2 linked regions of the Tamandua tetradactyla genome follow. The protein of the gene in region 1 binds, or shares a complex with, the protein of each later gene. Links are inferred from orthologs where the notes say so. Each region holds a gene or a part of one and is shown in the gene's direction. Other genes may lie near its edges.

Region 1 (7,157 bases):
TCGGCTGGCGAGCCTCTCCTGTGGAGTTTGTCCAGACTCTCCATCGGAATTGTTGACTTCACAGCCTGCCCTGCAGATTTTGGACTCTGCATTCCTGTGGTCACGTGAGACACTTTTATAAATTTATATTTGTGAGTGTTCCCTGTTGATTCTGTTTCTCTACAGAACCCTAACTAATATAACCTCCTAATAACTTTAGTAGATTACAAGTAAGTAGCTGTTATTCATCTGAAAAATGAAAGTCACAGATTCACAGGCTTTACTAGCTGACAGGAACTGCAGAAAGGACCTTCATTTTGGGATTAGTTTATGGCTTGTCAGGAAGACCTTGGGAATTCAATGATAAAGGTGTCCAGTTACTTCTAAAGTTAAATGAGAATACTATAGTTTCAACTCAACTTCAAATGTGTTTATACATTTGGGGACATGCCCAAGTGAAATATAATGCAACACAGGATACAGTGAGATGTGTTAAACATAACACTAAATTTGGGGAAAACAAAAAACATCTCCAAGATCCATTATGTGGAAAGATTGAAAGATATCTTTGAAGGAATTTTACTTTCTATAGGTCTTACATGGCAATCTTATGTTGAACTGGGGTGATTGCATTAAAAAGTAGCCCATTTAAAAATTCTGTAATATATATTCTATGTAATATACAAATACTGTGACTAAGTTTTATTTTGGAAAGGTGTGTAAATCAGTGTGGAAGATGATTTTAAGATACTTCCACTTCTAGGGATTCCCTTTAATAGGGAAAATACATCTAGCTGTAGTAAAGACTGTAAAAACAAACGGTACGCCAAGCTCACTCATTTCTCCTGCAGTATTGTAAGAAGTTAGGTGTCTTAATGATACCTGCTCATGCACAATGTATTTCATATGCTGGTACTGTCTCTAGGAACCTGAGAGGCAATGGGGGTGCAGGGAGACACCACCAACTATGTGATTGGTATAAAATAGTGTAGCGTCTAGGGGGTGACTCTCTTCTGTAAAAGAAGCCCTAATTGTCCAATTTGGACAACCACTTTTAAATTCTCATTTTATTTACTCAGAATAATTAAGCTATTTTAGCACATCAAGCCTTTGAGTAGTGTGTGCATTTTAGCTTGTGGTTCTGCTTGAGTTGTTAGTTGGCTGGAGGTGGAAGACAGGGTTATTTCTTCAAATATGGCTCAGAAATAGTTGAATAAGGTAATGTGTTCCATCCATTCTTTTTGCTTATTTCTAGTTCTGCTCTTCTCTCTTTGAAAGGCACAAATAGTGTATTTTAGTGGCACTTCGGGTTTCCCAAGCTAAAATCATAGGTATGTGTATTCACTGGTACCTCTTACTGCATATGAGAGGAAAGTGAATAGTACTGTGAAATTCCAATACTGTAATTTAAAGTAAAAAAAAATATCTGTTATCTCTGGAAGTGTACTTTTTGCTTGTTTTCTACTTCTCAGTTGTGATTTACCCCTCCATTATCTATGTAGTGCACATGTAGCCCTCAACCCTTGCTAGTCATTTGGGGAATGTTGAAGTAAAGCTACAGCCAGGGTCCCAATCCCAGAGATTGGTTCATCTGATCTAGAGTTAGGCCTGGATGGTATTTTAAAAAAGTAATCCAGGTAATTCTAATGTGCAGTCAGGGTTGAAAACCACCATGGTTTCAACTTGGAGTAAAAATATTTAGATTCTAGTTCCAGGTCTACCATTTACTAGCTGTCTTACCTTGGTTCTTAATTTCTCATAGGATGATTGAGGTTGGATTAGTGATTTACAAAGATTTTCTAACTCAATAACAAAATTACATTGGCATTCATCTGCTCTCATCTAGTTTGCAAAGCTCCAAAGAGATGAAAACGGACTTATTTGCATCTTGCAGTCTTGGTTTCATGCAGGTGAATAACAATAATAATAAAAATTGCACTTCAGTTTTCTCTTCTCCTTCTTCCTAATTACAAGGCATGGTAGGAAAGGAAAATATAAATGTAAGCTTAGAAATCATAAGCAACTTCTAGGGCTGCTTGGCCTGTCCCAAGCACTCTTAAATTGGGACCCGTGGTACCCAGGGAGAGCACTTACTACACACCGAGGTAAATATAATACAAACCCCAAAGGCTTTACACTACTCATCAGACCGCAACTGGCCTGGTACTTAGTGTGTGTGGGAGGAGCCCAGCTTCTCCTCCCCAGAGCGTGCTGCCAGTGCCAAGAGGAGGGAGTGATCGCCGGCAATTTGCTTCGTGGCGCGTCTTGCATCGTCTCCCCTCATCCTTTCTCCGGCCTCTCCCTGCCCTGCCCCCACCAGGAGCCGTGTCAGGGCGGCAGAGCCCAGTCGAGAGCAGAAGGCGGCGGCGGTGGTCACTGCGGTTCTCCTGGGGCTGGTTTTCCTTCTACCGGGTCCTCTTTCACTGAACATACATGCTTCGAAAATCAGACTCCGACTCTAACCCTCCTCTCTTCTGCCTTTTTCTCTTTAGGCTAGACTGAGGGTCAAAAGAAGCCAAACAGACAGAAGTCCTCCGCCCAAAAACCGGCTCCTTAGCCTCCCTATGATCCTTCGTTCTTTCACCCTCACAGCCCTCAGTCACCTCCCTTTCTCACACACCTCTCAGACACACTCTGACTCTCCCAGTGTCACCTCTCCACTTCTCCAGGCTCTCTCCAGTACCACTTGCCTTCAGTTTTTCAGAACTTCCTTACTTCCCCGCCCCAGGCCCGCGACGCCACCTGTGCTCAGTACTCATTCACGCACATCTGTCTCCATCTCCCCTCAGATGGGCCCTCACGCCCCCCACCTCCCACCTCTCACCCCCCACCCCCTACCCCAAGCCCTCCTCGACAACCCGCGCCGCCCCCCACACTCTTTTAACTAGGAGCCAGACATCCGGGCGACCCCTGCCCTCCCCATTCCCCCCCCCCCCCTCCCCCAGCTTACACTCTATTTCTCTTTCCGAAACCTTGGGAGCAGCTCCCTCAGGCTCACACTCCGGACCTAACATCCCCAGTAGTTCCCCTCTCCCTCCTACCCCCAATTCCCCACTGATCTCCAGACCTGACACCCGGCCCTCCCCATTTATCTCCCTCCCCAACGTTCATACTCTTTGCCATCTGGGCTTGACGCCGCAGCCACACCCCTCATCCGCATTCCCTCCCTCCTCCCCGCCGCCGCCTCACTCTCTTCCCCTGACTACCAACACCTCGGGCTTCGCTCTTTCACTCACAGTATTCATGCCCCGCCCTAAAAAGCTCGGGCACTTCCTCTCTTCCCCACCTCCCTCCTCCCACCCCACGCCCCTCATTTACGCTCTCCTGACCAACTTCTTCCCGCCCGGCCCCAGCCCAGCTGTCGCGCACCCGAGGGGTGGCCGCCACCCTTGGGGCGCTCATCGTGCCCGGGCCTGGGCTGCTGGGAGGTGACGCGGCCAGAACGGGAGGAGCTGGGGAGGCGGAGGGACTGAGGTGGCGCAGGCGAAGGCACCGAGCCGCGGCGGTGGCGGCGGCGGCAGCTTCTGAGGGCCCCGGGCGGGCGCGTGACAAGGAGGGACCAGCGTCCGATCCTGCTGCCACGCTTCGAAGCGTTTTAGGACCCGAGCGCTGGCAGCCAAGGGGCCCTGGCCCCAGGAACCCTCCGCCGCTAACCCCAGTCTGATCTCCTTCTCTGCTTTCACCTCTCGGCTCCAAACGCTAGTCTCCCGCCCCGCTTCCGTCTCCCGGTAGCTACCTGAGGGGTCCTCCCCCCTGGGGCTGAGGAGTCAGTCCTGTGACGCGCCAGCTGGCGGGACAGCAGAGCTGCTTCTCTGGGAAATTCATCCCTGCTTCCTCACTCCTCCTTGCTCCTTCCTTCGTGCTCCTCGAGCACTCTGCGAATTCCCGGAACTCCCTCCGGGAGCCTGGATCGCAGCCGCCCCTTTCCCTTCAGAGGCGAAGCGCACGGCCCCCCACCCCCGCGGTCAGACACACTAGCGCCCGGCCCGCGCGCCGCCCTCCTGCCCGCTCCCTCCAGTCACCCCACCCTCAGCTGTCCCCGCCACCTTACTCCACCACCCTCCCCCGCCGTTCCGCGCACTCCAGTCTCGGCCCGGCCTCCCGCTCCTCTCTTCCCGGAACCGCTCACTTGCCAGCCCTCGGCTCCCGAGAAGAAGCAACATTTCCCGAAGCGCACTCCTTAGCTCTCTCCTCCCCCCATTTTCTCCTCCCTTCGCTCTTTCTTTCTTGAGGAAGGAGGGCTGTCGCCTCGGATTGAAAGGCCATTAATTTGTATGTGTCCCAGCGCTGGAGGCTGCTCCAGCCACCCGCGCCGGTGCCGCCGCTAGTGGAGTTGCCTCCCTGTTTCCCTAGGGTGGTTTGGCTCCACCAAACATGTCGGCTCCTCTCGGGCCCCGGGGCCGCCAGGCTCCCACCCCTGCAGCCTTTCAGCAGCCTCTGCAGCCCGAGATGCCCGACCTCAGCCACCTCACGGAGGAGGAGAGGAAAATCATCCTGGCAGTCATGGACCGGCAGAAGAAAGAAGAGGAGAAAGAGCAGTCCGTGCTCAAGTAAGGACCTGGCTCCATCTTCCCGCCTCCCACCTGCCCTCCGCCCCTTCGGCCGCTCTCCTGCGGCCGCCAGCGCGCGGTGGATCGCCGCCCTCCCCGCCTGCCGGTAGCGCGGGGACTACGATGGTTGCGGCCGCCTCCGGCCACCCAGGCTGCTTTCTGGGTCTCCGAGCGCGTGGGTGTGTGGGGAGGGAGGGCGCCAAGGCCGGCTTAGGTGAGGATGGCGAGCCTTGGGGCGCTGTAATTTTCCCAGTGCTCTTCTAGCTTTCCTCCCGGGTCAGTTCGGCTCTGGGGCCCCAGTGGGGCCGGGTCTGAATCCAGGCTCCGCGCGTCCCTTCACTCTTCCCCACCGCCTCCGCGCGGAGGCAGTGACTGGGGCAAGGAATCCAATATGGCCGTGCACAGGTGCTTTCTGGCAGGGACCCAGGCGAAGGCGCACCGGCCAGGGGATGGCGGGTGCTGCCGGGGCCTTTAGTCCTGCGCCTTTGGAGGGCCGCTCTATCCCCAATTCAGGGAAGAGCAGATCTGCCCACGGTCGCGACCGGCCAGAGGGTGGTGGCGCGGGCGGGCGAGGGGCCTAAGCTCAGTTGCGTCTCGGGTGGGTGTGCGACCGGCGCCATCTTCCAGCCCCTCCCCTTTGGTGGGTCTAACACCCTGCACTCTGCTGCTCTTCCTGTTTGCAAGTAGTAAATCTGTTTAATCCTGAAGAGACTCCAGGTCCTACCGTTACCTCACTGTGGGATGCTTTGAAGTTCTGCTATATGTGCTCATAGTTTAGGCGCCGTGATTTTGCAGAGAGGCTGGGAGGATTGAAAGCAGCACCCAAGCTTTGGTTTAGCGACGGAGTAACTTCAGCACCTGGGAACTGTCCAGACAAGATGATAAATACCCTTTGAGACACCTTGTCAGTGTAGCAGAGATTTCTTTTAAAGCGTTTGCTTTGAAAGTTCTATGATTATTTGATCTCACAGACACTGTGTGAAAGAGATCGTGCAAAAGATGTGTAACCTCTTTATGTTTTTACAATTCACCTTTTTTTTTTTCACGTGAAATGGGTTCTAAGATAATTTATAGTTTATATGCCGAAGTTGGGACAGTTTTCTTTCTTTTTTTGTTTGCGTGCTTTCCCTCCATATTCTCCACAGGTACACACTATTGAAAGTGTAGAGCTCCTCTGTGAAGGAGCTAACACACTAACCTCTAATCGTTTACATTAAAAAAAATAGGTTGTTGCATCCAGTATTCTTTAATTCATTTATGCAGAAGCAATTCTCTCTATGTCTACATATATATTGTCACATTTTGATGAAATTATTATTTAGGTAATTTATGATAACATAAAATATACGTAGTTCATAGAGAAAAATACTATTTCTGACAAGATATTGAGGAACTAAAAGAGCAAATGCATTCCTGACATTAACCAAAATCATGAAGAACTGATTCTTCAAATCTAATTTCTGGATTTGAATGCCTTTTTGGGGATGTGATTTATTAGTGGGCTTGAGATATGAAAAAAATGAAGTTAAGTAGTCTATTTCAACTAATGGGAGAGTAAAGCATTGTTTTTAAAAGCTTATTGAGCATACTCCTAACACTGCTTAACTTCACTATATGTTCTAACAAGCTCTTGAAGCGTACAGTTTGATGTTTAGATATTTGGATTTATGCTTTTTTATTATAATTGCTAAAAATCAGTGTTAGAATGATGCTCATATAGTTGTATTTTTTACACATAATTAAACATAAAATGTGTTTTTATTTCTTTATGGTATGCTAACTCAGTATTTATTGGCTAGTTTACTAGAGCTCTAAAGCTGTTTATTGTTCTAAATGTTTACCAAGGTTTAAGAATTAAGGTTTTAGAGTATCTATAGTACATTTCTAATATACAGAAATTCAAATGAAGATGAGTATTGAATTAAGAAATAAAATGAACAGTATATTTTATTATAAATTGTTATGAAAGATTTTTTCATGTAGCTACATATGTGTATATTACATCTATATGTAAACATACATAGTGTGCAAATATATTTAATGTTTGTGTATTCATATTTGCATAGTTAAGCAGAAACAACCTTCCCTAACCATGTATTCAGGCAGTTTATACAATACATTTATGAGAGGCCTATTCAGATTTAATTAAAATAAATATTTCAGTTTCTAACTAACTTAATCTTAGAAGGGGACTTACCTCAATATGGCCTATAATTTCAAAATTATTTTTATATATATTTAACAAGAAGGAAGTTAAAGCATTATACACTTGAAATATTAACTTTAAACATTCTATAATATGCTTTTGGCTTTTGTAATAAAATACGAGTAGGCAAGGAAAATGAGATGTGGAATACAGACTTTGTAATAGAATTATAATAGTGAGAGACAAATAGCTTTGAAGAATTTGGCAATTTATTAACAGCATGTAATACATTATTAATATAGGGTATTAAATAACATACAATATATGAGAAAAATAATAGTAATAGCTTTTAATGATTGTAATTTCTCATAAAGCTTTAGGGACTATTTATCTGGTCATGACTATACTATCCTTGGTTTCACTTCCTTGGTAATGTGCAGTTAATTGCATGTTAACATCTTTATGAGAGGTCATGGGCACAG
Region 2 (7,588 bases), on another chromosome or scaffold:
AAGGTCATGACAAGTAAGAGAAGCCTAAGGCAGCGGCGTGCAGAGAAGAGGAGGGCACAGCACCATGAGGGGCCACGCCGGTGCCAGGGTTTTGCTTTTGACAGATACACTCTGCTGATGTGAGATACTAACTAAGGACGAGCGGGTGAAGTGGAGACAGGAACTCCCTGTGCCATTTTACAGCTCTCCTGCATTTTTAACAATTTTCCAAAATAAATAGTTCCCTAAAAAATGAAGAGTTTCTGTTCAGGAAATAATACCATAAATAGAGAAGCCACAAAACTGGAGAGTTTACAACACATGAAACCAGCAAAATATTAGTATCTAAAGTGTGTAAAGAATGCTTCCAAATCACTGAGACAAATGACCAACGTTTAAAAAATGCACACAAATCTTGGACAGTTATTTCACTGACAATCACATAAAAAGCTCAACCTCACTAAGAATCAGAGAGAAAAAGAGACACCCCACCCTATGACACAATTCCAAGTGTGGCGCGCTCTGGAGCAGCCGGGAGCTCAGGTGTGCTGTGTATGCATCTGCAGGGTCGCCAGGGTCAGCGATCTGGGGGTCACCGCAGAGGCCAGTGACGCACGTGCCCTCCGGCCACCTCCCTGTGCTGCAGACACAGCTGAGAATGCTCGCTAACATTTGTAACAAAAGCCAAACTAAAAACAACCCCAGTGTCCACCAATGGGAATTTGCACAGCAGAATATTATACAGCCGTGAAAAAGGAGCAAAGCCCAGGCACCTGCAGCAACTCCATGAACATCAGCAGAACAACCTGAGCAAGCAAACAGAAGAGCGTGCAGTTACAAACAATGAACATTTGATTCCAGTGACGTAAGGCTCGGAAGTTTGCAAAGTTAAACCATGTGTCATGAAATGACAAACTCGGTAAAACGATAAGGACAAGCAGGGCAATGAAAAACACAACTTGGAGCAGTTTTTCCTTCAGGGGGAGGGTGGTGAGATTTCCCAGAAGCACACTGCGACGGAAATCTTCCTTACCCAATCCTGGAACGACTGCTGCCTCTCCCTCCCTACAAATACCTAATTGATATTTAATAAATGCTTTAGAGACCTTCCAAGTAACACTCTATGTTATCAGTTTAGAATTATCATAGCTACTGAATCAGTGGGGTTTAGTTCTCACCACTTGAATTTTAAGGAAGATGAACTTAAGTACATTGCAAACCACTAATTTTTACCACAGCAAATATAATTATAACTCAAAATATATTCTGCCTGTGTTTTAAAGAATGCTTAACAGGTCAATATGATTCTGTGCTATTACTGGTCCTATGTCTTACATACAGCAGATATCTCAGAAAACTTCTCATGACCAAGAACTCAAACCAAATGACATAAACCATTTTCTTCAATTCTTACACTGTCATTTATTTTTTAGAGGAGCAGGTAAGAAATTTATTAGATACACATGTAAGAGGACACATGGGCACTGTCACAAGTAAGGAAAGATGGAGGGCAAGAGGCCCTTACACTGCGACTTTAAACAAACTTTAGATGATGATACAGAAGCCGCAGTATCTGACCACAGACAGGGTGGTGACCCTTTACCTGGAGGAAAAATCCCAGTGACTGACAGCAATATTTTTCCAGGTACAAAGTATATAAACGAAGCCCAGATGAGGCAAACAAAAAGTCAAAAACTGGTAGACATGCAAGGATCTGAATGAACCTGTGGGACATTTGGTGAGGTAAAATAAGCCAGAAACAAAAAAACAATTATTTTACGGTCTCATTTAGAAAATGCTTATAAAAAAACAGGGGCCTAGATTGTAAGCTCTCATAGCAGTCACATTTAGTCCAGAGTGGTAATTATTATTTCTGGATTTTGAGAGGTTGTTGTATATATGTATAAACTGGTATTCAGAGATAAGAATGAAGCCAACCAGGTAAGATAATTCAGAATACAGGGGTAAGGAAAACATTGTCTATATTTTATAGCCACACCTACTCTTTGAGACCAAAGGAAGAAAGGATTATTTTGTCCAGAATCTAAATGTTCTGTAGCACATAATCTAACTCAACCTGTGTAGATAGATCATTTAAACAATTCAGACACATGGGGCCCAGTATAAGAATGAGGGCTTTTAATCCTGTATAGCTCAATGTAATGCCTGGAAACATCTTAGAGGATACTAACCAGATAATCAAAAAGTGTTAGCAAAGTCCCCTGAGGGAGGGGAGAAAGACTATGAAACTATTAAACTTTACTATCAGGGAATCCCCGATACCGTGTCAAGCTTTAGGGACACCCAAATCAATAGGCCATGCCCTAAATCACGAGGCTCACCCTTATGAAGCTTGTGTAGGTAGTGGAGAAGCTTAGACTACCTATAGGATGCGTAAGAGTTACTTCTGGAGGACCTCTGTTGCTGCTCAGATGTGGCCTCAGTCTCTCTAAGCCTAACTCTGCAAGTGAAATCAGTGCCCTCCCCCTACGTGGGACATGACATCCAGGGGTGAAAGTCTCCCTGGCGGCATAGGAGATGACTTCCAGGGATGAATCCAGACCTGGTACTGTGGGATCAACAATTCCATCCTGACCAAAAGGGGGAAAAGAAGTGTATTTAATAAAGTATCAGTGGCAGACAGAGTTCAAATAGAGTCGAGAGGCTACTCTGGAGGTTGCTCTTACACAAGCTTCAGGTAGACCTTGCTACCTATTATAACCTGCCAACCCCCAACCAGGACCATTCCAGCCAATCCTAAAGAACACCTAGGGCATTATATGAGATTCTAGAAAGATTCCATGCTCTAGGGTAACTTTCCAGATGCCTACAACCTCCAGATGGGTCCCTGGACCAGACAAGTCCTGAAACCTAGCCCAGCCTCTCCAGAACATCAGACAGTTCCATCTCCCTACCCCATAGTATGGACCGCCTCTTCCAACATGAAAAAGTCAAAATGGGCAGAGCCCAAACACCCCTAAAGAGAGGGATGGAAAGATCGAAGGTGATAGTGGAGTTATACAGAGAAGGTCAGGTTTAACAAACTAATATGCTACTGAGTCATTGTATTGATGTTTCTTTTAGTCTCCAGTGTCTTAGAGCAGCTAGAAGTAAAACCTAAAATTGTGGAATTGTAACCCATGCCAAACCCTGAAATCTGCTCTACAATTAATTGTCATGAGTGCTTTGAAATTTATTGCTTTTTGTATATATGTTTTTCCACAAAAAGTCATTGGTGGGTGGTGCAGTGGTCGCTCAGTGGCAGAATTCTCATCTGCCATGCTGGAGACCCAGGTTTGAATTCCAGAGCCTGCCCATGCTAAAAAAAACAAAACAAAACAAAAGTCGATTGTGATGATAAACCATATTAATTCCTTCTAGCCTCCTATATTCTGGAGCAGCTAGAAGGAAAAATCTGAGAGGATAGTATGGTAGCCTGTGACAAACTCTGGGGTCTGTCCTACAATTTAAAAAGTTAAAAAAAAAAAAAAAAACTTGATAGAGTTGTAAATGTATTTAAGGTATCTGAAAAAAAATAGGAGTTAAAAAACAACGTCCAAGGTCGCGCTTTTGAACACTAGCTGCATGGGCCACCATCTCTGTGCACACTTCGCCCCTTATGAAGCTGCTTCCTGTTTGCTGGGGAGACGCTATCTCTGCTCCTGCTCTATACTGGGATACTAGCCCCTGGAGCCACCCAACTGGATTGAGGTGGGGAGAGGTGGGCAGAGCTGAGCTGGGGTCAGGGCAGGACCTGAGCAAGGGATCTGGGCTTGGGGAGTCCAAAAAGCAGGGTAGAGACTCCTTTGGGGCAAGTCAGGGAACGCTTCCTAGTGGAGGGGATTCTATTGCACTGGGCATTGCTGGATGAATAGGAGTTTGCCCGTGTTTTAGTTTCCCAGCTGCTAAAATAAATACCATACAAGGGTATGTTGTTGGCACAGGGTTTCAGAGCCTAGATTTGCTTCCTTCAGGGGCCGGTATCTTCTGGCTGCGTCCATCTTTCTGGTCCCTCCGTTTTTCTACCACATGGTGATGCATATGTCGGTTTCTTCTCCTTTCCCTTCTGGGTTCTGTGGACTTCCAGCCTCTAGCTGTTTCCTATGGGTCCTCTCTGCCTGAATTTCACTGGGTTTATAAAGGACCCCAGGAATAATCCAGATTAAAGCCCGCCCTGTGGAACAGCTTCAAGAGATCTTATTTACAACAGGTCCACACCCACCACGATGTGGGCACAGGTCCGCACTGGTTCACGGTTCACTCCACCTCGGGGGTCACACAAGGGGCGAGGGTGGGCGCCCCTGTGAGCCAGCCACAACTGGGAGAGAGCGAGGCAGCGACGCGGGGCCCCGAGTTCGCGGAGACAGAGCCACCGAGGCCAGGGAGAGAGAGAGAAATTGAGGCAGCCGGAGGAGGACAGACTGTCGGGGACAGGACGCCCCCCGCACCGCGCCGGGCCCTTTAACGCCCCCCCCCAGCCCGGCGGCCCTCCCCCCCCCCGTCCCCGCCCCCGCCCGCGTCGGCGCCGCGTCGGGAGCTGTCCGCGCCCCGGTGCTGAATCAAGATGGCCGGCGGCGGCCAGGTCCCGGCGGTGCCCCTGCCCAGCGGCAGCTGAGCCCGCCCCGAACCCCGCGCCCCAGCCGGCCCCGGCCGCCGCGACCCCGGAGCCATGTCTCTGCTGTGCGTTGGAGGTAGGAGGCGCGGCTGGGGCGGCGGCCCGCGTGGACGCGGACTGACTCCGGAGGCGCAGCCCGTAGAGAGGCGTGGGCTCGCGGGGTCCTGGTGGCCGCAGCCGGGGTTCGTGTGGCCACGGCTCAACGCGGAGGGCCGTGTGGACGCGGGCTGGGACCTGGGCTCCATCCGGTCTACACTCGGGGTCTGTGTAGACCGGGCTGTTAGGGAGTCGGCGTGGAGGGGGCAGGGTCGGGAGCTCCGGGGCATCCCGCGGGCGGCCGGGGGGTCCGGGCTGGGCGGGGCGCGGGGCCTCGGGATGCGGACGCGGCACACAGCCCGGTGTGGACGCGGGAGGGGTTCCGAGGCTGGGCACCGAAGATTTGGGCACGAGGGGGCTGGGGCATCTGGCAACCGCGCTCTGGGGTCCCCGAGGCCCAGGGTGTCCAGACCCCTCCCGGCGTCCACACCGGGCTGTGGTTCGGGACTGGGGGTGCTTTTCCGGTTAACCCTTTCGCCTCCCGAGGGGCTGCTGGGGCAACGGCCCGTCGCCCGCCCCTCCCCCTTCGCCGTCCCACGCGCAGGGAGCCGACCCCCCGCGGGCAGCGGCCCGGACGCTCCCCCGATCCTCCCTCACCCCCACCCTGCGCGGAGGGGCACAGATGGGGGCAGCTATTTTGGGGCCAGAACGCCATCTGCACCGAGGCCCACGCCCAGGCCTCGTTCCGCGTTGGGGGGCGGGGGGGGGCGGAGAGAGACGCGGAGGGGGTGACCCGCTCCGCCCTGTACTCGGGGGCCGCGGTGGGCGAGAGGCCCGCCCATCACGTGTTGAGGGCCCTCCTGCTGAGAGCTCAGGCTCTGAGAGACCTCTGGCAGCGGGGGGTGGGGGTGGGGTGCGGAGGAGGGGGGCGGGGGGCTGCGGACAGGCACCGGTCTTCCGAGGTCGGAACCTGGGTCTTGAGCGCGGGGCTCCGTCCCCCTTCCCTGCACCCCCTCACAAAGGCAGGGGCAGGGGTGGGGGGTGGGCCCAGCTTGAAACGTCCGGCTACGGGAGACCTTGGGCCGCGGGTGTGTACCGTGGGTTTGGGTGTTGGTGAGCGGAAGCCGCAGCTGTGCCAGGGCCCGGGAACCGCCCCCGGCGGCCCTCCCTCCCCCCCCCCCCCCCCCCCCGCCTGCTCCATTCACAAACCCGGCCCCCCCCAGCCCGCGGTGCCTTCGCGTGTGCAAATCGGGCCGCGCAGGGCCGGTGTGGACGCGGCTGTTCTTAAAGGGACAGAAGCCTCTGTGCTGCCCCCTGCGACTCCTTTCCCAGGCTTGCTCTGGCCGGGAGAGGCTGGGGGTGGGTAGGGGAAGGCGGCAAGATCCAAAGTCAGCGCACCCAGCTCCCAGCGTCCAGGCTCTGGGCAGCCTGTGGGGTTAGGGGGTGGGGGGTGGGGGGTGGGAGGGCCAGAGGCGACTCCCATTCAACCCCACCGTGTAGGCCTGAGGGGACTCCCCTCCTCTGTGTTGCTGAACCGCCAGGCACTTGGGGGTGTGGCTGGGGGGTGTCCCTGGTGGGTGCTCCTGGTGACCCCCCCCTCTGCTGCCCCCCCACCTCCCACCCTCCCATTTGGTCTTCTGAAGGTTCACCTGCTGGAGGCTGGGCAGGAATCTCATCCTGTGACGCAAAGGGAGGCGCTTGGGCTGTGGGGGGGCAGTGGGGGGCCCTGGGAGGGGGGAGCGGGGAAGGGGGTGGGTGGTGCTAGGATCTGTGGATCTGACCAGGAAGGAGTCAGTGGAGTCGGGGGTAAAGGGCTGAGGGTTAGGGGGAGGCGCTATGAAGACCCCTGGGGGAGACCAGGAAGGCAGGGGTGGTCTTGGTGGGGGAGGGGGCGGGAGTGGAGGAGGCCAGATGGTCTGCATGGGCGCTGAGCTCATACTTGGGGGTGAAGACAGCACCTGCCCCCCAGCCAGGACACCTCTTCCCCCCTGCACCGGGCGCCTGCACCTTCACCCCCACAATCCACAGGACACGCGAAGGTGCCACACACAGACTCACATGCCTGGGCTTGCACACGTGTGCACACATGGTCACACACAGGCCTCTGCATGCATGCAGGGTCCATGTATGCATGATGTGTGGGCCCTAACACACCCACCCCTCCCAAGAAACGTGTGTGCACAGCAGCACGCCTGGAGGCTGGACGCACCCCCCACACACACATGCCTGGGTGTGTCAGGAGCTGCTTCCAGGCCTCAGTCAAGCTACGGGCTCACCCACACCACACACTTGGCAGCACACCTGTGTGCACGTGTAGGCAACGAGCAATACACCTGGCATACAACCACGTAAGGCACTCACACCCCAGCACGTGGGTTTCTAGCGAACGCCTACCTGCCAGCCCCCACATTCCTGAGGCCACAGATGCCAGCACCTCCCAGGCAGCCACGCCCCCCACGCATGGCCTCACCTGCAGGCAGCCTCCCTGGACACACACCTGCCTGCCTGGCACCAGCACGCACAGCTCACCCTGTACACACCCGGCTTGTGTTCCCCCCCTGCCCCCCATTTCTCTGCCGTGTCCCGGCAGTGCCCTGAGGCTGTGAAGGCCCCCCAGACCCTTCCCGCATCCATTCCTGTTTATGCCAATGTTCAGGGCACACCTGCTGGCATCCAGCTGCTGGTATCAGCGGGGTGGGGAAGGCACAGGGCTGAGGGGGCAGGGGAGAGGCGGCCACCCCTGCTGTGTCTCAGATGAGGGAGAAACAGTGAGGCGAGGACGTGAGTGCTGAGGCCTGATGCGCCGCAGGCCCAGGGAGGCCGCATGGGGGTGATGGGTGCGGGCCTCAAAGCTCAGCCTCGGGCATCCGGCCCACGAGCCCGCCTTCTGTGGGCCTACCTAGCCTCTGGGCAGCCCAGTTCACAGACAGGGAATGGGGGCTGAGGGAGGCTCAAGAA

Evidence for each region. Proteins that work in one complex are often made in the same cells at the same time.
Region 2: the proteins of RIMS2 (region 1) and UNC13A are in contact, whole or in part, in a crystal structure (PDB 2CJS), measured with the Rattus norvegicus proteins. The link is inferred for Tamandua tetradactyla from reciprocal best matches to the Homo sapiens genes RIMS2 and UNC13A. Residues at the interface, in XP_063118965.1 of Rattus norvegicus: Asp102, Gly103, Cys104, Ser109, Gln112, Val123, Leu125, Ser127, Asn128, Lys129, Val134, Met135, Trp136; in NP_074052.2 of Rattus norvegicus: Tyr23, Ile36, Trp65, Leu69, Ile70, Trp71, Asp72, Thr73, Met74.

Annotation. Positions count from the first base shown.
Region 1 is NC_135332.1:148,155,780-148,162,936, forward strand, and holds the start of RIMS2 (regulating synaptic membrane exocytosis protein 2), read left to right. Parts: upstream 1-4,065; 5' UTR 4,066-4,353; coding exon 4,354-4,529; intron 4,530-7,157. UniProt on the Homo sapiens protein: Rab effector involved in exocytosis. May act as scaffold protein. Plays a role in dendrite formation by melanocytes.
Region 2 is NC_135337.1:96,494,161-96,501,748, forward strand, and holds the start of UNC13A (protein unc-13 homolog A), read left to right. Parts: upstream 1-4,574; 5' UTR 4,575-4,648; coding exon 4,649-4,670; intron 4,671-7,588. UniProt on the Homo sapiens protein: Plays a role in vesicle maturation during exocytosis as a target of the diacylglycerol second messenger pathway.